Linked DNA regions of Oryzias latipes. The protein of the gene in region 2 purifies or fractionates together with the protein of the main gene of each other region. This does not show direct contact. Links are inferred from orthologs where the notes say so. Each region holds a gene or a part of one and is shown on either strand. Other genes may lie near its edges.

Evidence for each region.
Region 1: the proteins of sap30l (region 2) and hdac2 purify together in Homo sapiens (affinity purification with mass spectrometry; 3 studies listed by BioGRID and IntAct, with this or other methods). This does not show direct contact. The link is inferred for Oryzias latipes from reciprocal best matches to the Homo sapiens genes SAP30L and HDAC2.

Annotation. Positions count from the first base shown.
Region 1 is NC_019882.2:21,613,914-21,618,295, reverse strand, and holds the start of hdac2 (histone deacetylase 2), read right to left. Parts: upstream 2,855-4,382; 5' UTR 2,735-2,854; coding exon 2,680-2,734; intron 481-2,679; coding exon 368-480; intron 191-367; coding exon 73-190; intron 1-72. UniProt on the Homo sapiens protein: Histone deacetylase that catalyzes the deacetylation of lysine residues on the N-terminal part of the core histones (H2A, H2B, H3 and H4).
Region 2 is NC_019872.2:28,917,663-28,922,105, forward strand, and holds the start of sap30l (histone deacetylase complex subunit SAP30L), read right to left. Parts: upstream 2,891-4,443; 5' UTR 2,290-2,890; coding exon 2,104-2,289; intron 200-2,103; coding exon 77-199; intron 1-76.

The DNA.
Region 1 (4,382 bases), on a different chromosome or scaffold from region 2:
CACTTCACTTGACTTGTATCCTGTACAAAATGCTTCCTTAAGTTTGTCTGAACGTCAACAGAGCCCACTCACAGCGCTGCATCTGCTTGCTGAACTCGGACATGTTGTCTGGCCGTATGGATCTGAGGAACTTGATGTAGTCGTCACTGTGGTATTTGGTCATCTCGTCTGCGGTGGCTTTGTGTGGCCTCTGAAACCAGGAGAAAGGTGGAAGGGAAGAAACCAGAACTGAATGAAAGCAGGAGCGAACACAGAACTAAGAGCAAACCGCCAAGCTAAATCGACGTTTCCTAATGTCTGAAGTCTGCTGAGGATCAGGTCACATGGAGACACGCTCCTCACAGCAACAGAGCACAGGAAAACATACATAGATCTCCATTTTTCTGTAGAGGCCATAGTTCAGGAGGAGGTTGTGAGTCATGCGGATCCGATGTGGCTTCATGGGGTGTCCTTGTCCATAATAGTAGTTTCCAACATCACCTAGACACAAGAAAAACACAAAATCAATGATGCAGATTGCCAACATTAGCTCCACCAGCTTTTCTGATTCAACTGTTGGCATCTGTGTTGTTCCAACAGAGAACATGAGCAGCAAACGACAGAGGAAGACAACTCAGAGCACTGATCTGTGGAACAACCGAAGCTTCAGAACGATGACTCACATCCTCACCGTTATTTATTACTGCTCAGTAAACAAACCAGGAACAGTTTACAGCAGACAGAAAACGGGACTGATCCCTGTCCAACAAACTGGACCCTCCCAACCAAAATGTACTCTGACATCTCATAATGTCAGTTTATTCTTTACATTATGATTTCAGTCAGATTATTAAAATATGAAACCGCTCTAAACAAGTGCCAGTTCTAATGGGCTGAACTTTTATGACACTTATGTTCACGAAGATCTACATCTGCATCAGTAATCTAGTCATTTCAAAGTGATGTGCACGTCATTAGTGCACGTGGGACTGCTCTAAGCTAAATGTGACCGCAGAAAAAGGTGAAGTGAATTGCTTAAATGAACATGGTGTTTTTAACACGTTCTGGCAGCATTATTCTGAATATGAAGAAAATTAAACAGAAAATTGAATTTCCGAGTATTTCTTTGTTCAAACTGTTGTGAGTCAGGAGCGGATAAAAAATATGCAGTTGGGAATAGCTATAAGCAAGCCCCAAGCTCCCTGTTCTGTTCCACTCTAAAGGCCTGTTCACACCGGGACGAATTTCGCCGGCGATTTTCGCCGACGTTTAACGCCTCGTGACTAAACAAAGGGCACCAACGAGAGTGTGCACATCGACGCGAAAAAACGCCAGGCGTTAAAGCGTCCAAAAAAAAACGCCTCGGGTTCGTTTTTTTTTTCCGACGAAATCTACTCGACCAATGAGAACGGCGCTTTTGCTCACGTGTCTGGAGCTTCTGAAGTTACAGTAAAACACAACTTGGGGGCGCTCAAACACAAAACTGCCTTGCTGAGCACACATACCAGCGAAGAAGATAGACGCCAAGTAGCGTCTACACAGCCGCGAAGCAATAATGACGGACATTCTAAAACATCCCCGAACCAAGCACCAGTTGGAGCTACTGGTGCTTGAAATATTCATGTTTTCTTTGTTTGATTCTGACAAGCGTGTAAAAACTTGCTCTCTTCTTCTGAGTGAAAAGCGACTTTAAGAAGCGTAAAGTTGCGCAGCGCCACCTTGTGTACAGGAGTATTTCAGTTTTACATTAAGCGCCATCTAATGTCAGGGAATGAAATTGCATGTTCACTCCACTCATCGTCAGCGAAAATCGCCTGGGTGTGAACACAAAAAACGTGGCGAAAAACGCTGGCGAATAACGCCTGGCGAATATTCGTCCCGGTGTGTACGGGCCTTAAGGCATCCACCTGCAGACTAATGGATCCATGAACGTCTTTGTTTTCCTCGTCTGAGCTGGAATCGGGATAGATCTGATATTGGCCATCTTTTTTGTTGCACTGCTAATGTGAGGATGGGGTTGTGAGGGGCTGTAAGCTAGTGGTAGAGTAGAGTGTAAACGGGGGGGGGGGGGGGGGGTGCTCTGCATCAACAGTCCCACCCACAACTCAGAGGTTAATGCTCTGCAGAAACTATGTCCCAGAAAACAACACAGGTTTTTGATTTAAAAAAAAATAATAACTTAAAGCGATCGGACACGCTTGTGTTTGGACCTGAACGCAGGTTTAGAGCCACCCGGGGCTTCTGCAGACGGTCACGTGACGTGTAGGTGAGCCAGGCCGCGCGTGCTCGTCTGGAAGCAGTAGAGGCTGCCAGTCGTGTGTTCTGTGGATGGTTGCATTGTGGGACGGCAACCTCGTTAAAGACGTTAAAAGCTTTTCTCCTCATACGTTCCCGGATGTGGGTTCTCCTCGGTGGGATCTTGAAAGATCACAACAGAACGCCGGCTGAACTGCCTGGGTCTCAAACAAGACTGACGTACGTAGCCGTAACTCACACAACGAGGGGTGGAGACAGACGTGAGGCGCCGGCTACTTAACGTACAGTGCCCCCCTCAGATGTTGGCTTTACACCGTTTCAATGAAGCAGAAAAGACTTTAGCCCCGGAGAAATGAGTTCCGACCGTAACTGACCGATGCTAGCACATGCTCGATGCTAACAGCTAGCGTTAGCCTGGCTCGTGCGCCACACAGCAGCTCTTACCGTCGTAGTAGTAGCAGACCTTCTTCTTAGTTCCACCTGCAACCGTGTACGCCATGCTACAAGCTCCTTTAGCTCCACAGGTGAGGCTCAATTCGCGTTAACAGAAAGACAAGAGCTGGATGGAGAACATCTGCACGGCGTCGCTGAGTGGGAGGGGCTACGTGGGCTGGGCGGGGCAAGGTTGGGCTCCGCCCCTGCGCCCCACTTTAAGTTTCTTTGTCCTTGTTCTTTTGTTTTGCGTCTTTGGGGCAGGGCATCAACACATGATATGTGGATTGCCAGTTCTGTCTGTGGTAGTCTAGCCATGCCACCAGGAGATCATTTTAGTACAAGACTCTGCAACCTTCTACCCCAGTTTGAGCCTCTTCCTTCTGACAGACTCAGAGTCGCACAGCCCCACTTCACACTCAATTCATGCTTCAGGCACGTGAAAATCTCCTTTATCTGGACTTTGCTTTGCACTGTTGAACCTTATTTAAATTTGTTCTTCACCTCTGCTTCTTCAACTCCTCCCTCAAAGCCACAAAGCCCTTTTTTTTTTACTTACACCACTTGGTCCTCTGCTCTGGCCTTGTCCTCGTCTATGGAGTGATTTATGTGTCCCATTATTCCAAGCGTACTTGAAATACTTGAAATATTTTGTGTGCTCAAAAATATTTTGCACTTGAAACATAAAAATGCACTTGAGACTCAAAAATAAGTGCAAACAAAACAGTTTTACTCTTGAAACCTAAAAATATGTCCAATCAAAACAATTCTCTATGTGTCACAAAAGCCAGTTAATCACAGACATGGGCATAAAGTTTGATGCCGATTGGTCAGAAATTCTTCCAATCGCACACAGACCTGATCCAGTCTACGAGCCGTCTAAAGTCTACAGTTTTTGGGTTTTCTGGCCCGTCAAGAGTCGTAGAGAGGAGTGGCTGCTCCTTAAGATGTCTTGTAGTTCCCTTGAGGCTTGCACAACCACCTTAAAGGTTATTGTTTTGCATTTCGTAAGTACATGGTGAAGTATTTGTTAGGATAATGGAAGTTACAAACTGATGAGGTATGGGTGTTCTTGCTCAGGGGGGCGGAAAAAATGAAAAATCAACATGAAATGCCTGTGTCTTACATACTTCACCTGTGCCTGCCGTTGTGTGTTGTTAAAGTACCTGACGACCTGCCGCCCGCACCAGCCCGTAGAAAAACTGAGCATGAACATTCACTGAGTGGTCTACAATCTTGAAATTTCGTGCGGGCCGCCTGCTTGTCTCATACAGATTTGGCCCTTTTTCATCTGCAGACAGCCCGTGCCCACCCCTAAGAGCAGTTGGGACTAAGGCTTTAGCTTTCTCTTCTCAGCATCTACAGTCAAACTGGAGATTATTCATCCAATCAGGCAATTTGGGCTAAAAGATACTTTATTCCATCAGCAAGTTTCTTCTTTGTTGGAAATAATACAGATGTTAACCAGGAGCAGAACATTTTGCACTTGACTTGTCAGTCAAGCTGTAGCTCATGAAATCTCTTTTGCCACTGTGGTAGTACTTTCCAGAAAAAAAAAAATCTTAGAAAATACATAAAAGATTAGAAACCATGAGGAATACATGTTCATTTATCGCTCTTGGTTTTCTTAAACCAAGCTTTCATAAAATGTGAATAAGGATGTTTCAATAAAAATGGATTGGATGTTTCCAAACACTCAAAGTGCTTACAACATG
Region 2 (4,443 bases):
AACTCCAACCCACTCTGTGGCGGTTTCCACACAAAGCAGACTCCTCTGAGGAGCAGAACCTGACTGCCGCTCTCACCTCAGGAACCTCCACATCGTGATCTGGAGATTCGCCTCCATCGTCGCTGGTCTTTCTCTTCCTCTTGTTACGGACGCTCTGGATGAAATTCTTGTGGAAATCACAAATGTAGAGATGTCTCACCTGTTGAGAGGAGAATGTGTATTAATAATGCAGTCAGAGAGGTGAAAGTCTGAGTCTTTACAGAAAAACAACAAACAAGCACGAGCAAAAAGCTGCAGATAAACCGTCTAATTGTCAATATGCAACAATCTACTGCTATAAACCGCTGGGGCTGCAGGGTCAAATGCATCCGCAGACATTTCTGCAACAGTTTTCTCAGCTGAGAGCCAGAAGTGCAGCTTTCAATCCACCTTCCTGCATCCCGTCACATGATGAGGCTCAGCCTTCCTGGAAAAGCCTCCCAGGCAAACAGAAAACTGAGCAAATAGTGCAGCACCGTGAACGTTACAGAGCAAGTCGGACGGAGAAGACCTTCATGCCTCGACGGGAAACGCCTTTACCAAATCTGAAGATATCCTACAAGCGATGGCCGCAAAGATACGGACTTACGCAACAGGAAAACCTCTGTGTTTCCATTTCGGAGGAGCTCGGCTGCTGGTTTGAAATCGACGCGTTTCTGCCAAAGCAGCGGCAGGAGATCAGCTCTCACCGAGAAGAAAATCTGATGTTTGTTCCATTTTCCAAGAGCTTCCAATGGAAAAATTGAAACAAGTTTTGCCAGAGGAAGACGGCAGCTTTACTGACCCTGGTGATGAAGACTGTGCTTTGTTATGCAGTTTAGATGAAGAACATGCATTGTTTCAGCTTTCAGTTGGATCAATCAGATATTTTGAATATGATCATCTTTTCATCTATGGTTAATGATGATGATCCCCTTTTGGAATCGTTTTCTAGGACATAGTTTCTGCAGAGCAGCCGGAGTTCATTAGAAAAATCTCCTCTGAGCTGTGGTGGGGACCGTTGACATGGAGTGAGCCCTCCCCTGCTTCCCAACATCCGTTTGTTTGAGCACAGCCCCTCAAACCCCCAACCTAACATTAGGGGTGTAACAAAAATGGCAGCAATATCAGATCCATCCATCCGTACAGCTAAGATCCAGATTCCAGCTCAGACCAGGAAAACAAAGACGTTCACGAATCTATGTGTCTGCATCAGAATGGAGCAGAGCGGGACGCTTACTGCTTGCCGTAGTAGGTTTTTTTTTTTTCACATCGATTTGAATAGAGAGAGAGTATTAGTTTATTCAAACAGTTTTGTTGTTGTGAAAAAGATAAATGGGTAAATGTGGTTAAAGGGTGATTGTGTCACTAAAGGAAGTAGAATCAATAAAGTTATGAGTTTAGAAACTAAACATAAGAAAATCAGGCCACAGCAGCAGCAGGGCTGTGGTTCAACTCCTGACGGAATGCTCTTGGGCAGAAAAAGCCTTCATCAGTCCGAGCTGCTCATCATCATCAACTACAACAGCAGCAGTGAGTGGGGGTTCGTGTCACGCGGCGTCACGGATCCCCCACGAGGACGAGGCTGCTGTGGAAAAACCATGAATTCCAGCGGGGGGTGGGGTAGGTGGGGGCATCGGCGTTACTTTTTCTTTCTGCACCGTCATGGAAGCAGCTTCGATCTTTGTGTCGTTTGACGTGAACCTCGGTGGGACGAAGCCCCGCTGCAGGCTCAGTCACTGCTGCGCAGAAAAACAGCCATTTTACGAAGCGGGGGGGGCGGGGGCGGGGGGTACTGGAGAAAACGGCCCGAATCTGAGTGGAGCCGACACCCCCCCTGGCCCGAACAGGGCTGACATTTACCTGAGAGGCGAGAACACAGGTGAGCCTACAGAGACTGGAGTTTTCCGCAGCAGGAACTCCACCGGAGTCGAAAAACCGTCTCTGCTGATCAACCGGCTAGCTTAGCTAGCATTAGCTGACAGCTAGCTGACAGGACGGTTCCCGCGAGCCTCCCGCTCTCTGCCGACACTCCGCGCGAGCTCAGAAAATGAATGACCAAATGAGAAATGAACAGCTGCTTACGCTTTTATCGATGTCCAGCTTGAGCTTCTTCTGTGAAATGCTCTTCTGGATCCTCTTGCTGAAGGAGGCGTTTCCTGCCGAGCGGCCGCAGCGCTCCCCGTCCTCGATCAGGCAGCAGCTCTGTCCGTAGAACGGCGGAGCAGGCGGTCCGTCATGACTGTCCTCTTCCGTGCTGAAGCCGTTCATGGCGCGCGGCTGTCACCAACTTCTCGGGCCGAACGGGGAAGGAAAAACTCACACTCGGCGGCCGGCTCCCTCGTTCACGCGCGGCGCTTTTGTGTTCCAGTGGAAGTCGTCCCGGCAACGTTAGCTTCGCTAGCTAACCTAGCTAGGTGGCTATTTGTCGAGATAACAGTCTTCGTCCTTTGGTCACTGTTCACGGTTTCTCTTGATTGAAGCCATTTCTTTGTATCCCCAACAGATCAACGCCAAAAGCCCGTAACGTTACTGCGGACCGGCCTTACTTAGTTCGTGCCAACCGGGGAGCAAGGTGGATGATGCTGGAATTCCTTCGGTGAGAGCACCGTAGTTCGATAGCTGCACTAACCACCAGTTACTTTCCCATCATCCCCCTCGAGTCCTTCTGAAAAGTGACAACAGTTCTCCAATCCAGCGTAAAATTATAAACAAAATCGCGTATTCACTGCCTAAAACAGCAATATTCTTTCAGAACTGCTCGTACAAAGGAACATGCTCCGTCTTTGTGAAGGAAGTTCTCGTACTAAATATAGATTGGCCGACGTTCAGCCAAGGCGGGCTCAGTGTGCGAACTCTGAAATCCTATTGGCTAATGCAAATGCCAATCACCCCCCAAAGAGCTTTTCCTGGTAAACTCCCGTCATATGCTTTTTTTTTTCCGTCATATGCTTTTTTTTTCCGAGTTAAAGGTGACGTTGTGTCCAGACAGTGACTTTTAAACTACGCACCAGACAAAAAACAATCACCAAAACTATTTAAATGATTCACAAATCCCCCAACGAGCACACCGCTTATTCTGATCATTTAAACCGAGAAGTTTTTTTTAAAACGACCGGAAAAATAACGAGGTGTAACTTTCGGCGTCCACGCGCCTCTGCTTCAGACACTGGATACACATCCTGCTAGGATCGCCTCTTTATACATCTTAGCGTACTATGACAAAAACCGACGACAACAATAACAAGCTTTGCACTGATCACTTCTTGTTGCTTCGTGTTTTGTGACGAACAAAAATGAATGAACAGATGTTGACATCGACACACTGTAATTCCCTTAAGCACCACAAGGGGGAGACAACGCCTGCGAAAAGATCCAAAGGGAAATCTTGAGAAAAGTCACAATACTGCAGTGCTTAGTCACAACCTATATAATTTAAAAGAGATGGTTGTTACATCTGTAGCACAAAAATGTTCACAGGGAGCTTGAATTTGGGCAAATTCAACTATATATGTGCCTATTGTGAAGGAAAATACTTATGCATAAAATAGGTAAGATATTAACAGGTTTAGATATGTAAATCTTGTCTCAAGATTCAAAGGGTTTATTATCATATGCACAGTAAAGAAACGGGTTTCCCTGCACAATGAAATTCTTTCTTTGCTGTCTGCTCCAAATGCCAAACGTATAGAGGAAACAAAACAATTCACTCACATCATACACACAAAACACAAGATGTCGAGTGGCAGTTGTAAAAGTGCAAATGTGCAAAAGTGACAATGACAATAGCAACAATTAGGATAAGCAAAGGTGCAGTTTGTTTTTTCCAGACTCCAGTCAGCTGTTAAGGAGTCTGATGGCAGAGGGAAAGAAAGAGTTCCTAAATCTGGTGGTCCTGCACTTCACACTGCTGTACCTCCGTCCTGAGGGGAGGAGAGTGAACAGTCCTCGTTGCGGGTGGGTGGGGTCTTTGATGATTGAGGCAGCTCTCCTGCAGACCCTGCGTTTGTAGATGCTCTGCAGCGAGGGAAGAGGAGTCCTGGTGATCTTGGACGCAGTCTTTACCACTCTCTGCAGGCGTTTGCGGTCCGCAGCGGTAGAGCTGCCGTACCACACTGTGATGCAGCTGGTCAGGATGGACTCAACCATGCAGCTGTAGAAGTTGCTGAGGATCTTTGGGGACATGCCGAACCTCCTCAGCCTCCTCAGAAAGTACAGCCGCTGATGAGCTTTCTTCACCAGCTGTGACGTGTTTAGTGTCCAGGTGAGGTCCTGGCTGAGGTGAACCCCCAGATATCTGAAGCTGCTCACCCTCTCCACTTCCAGACCCCGGATAAGAAGCGGCTGATGAGGGTTCCTCCTCTCCTTCCTCATGTCCACTATCATCTCCTTTGTCTTGTCGGTGTTGAGGGTTAGGTTGTTGTC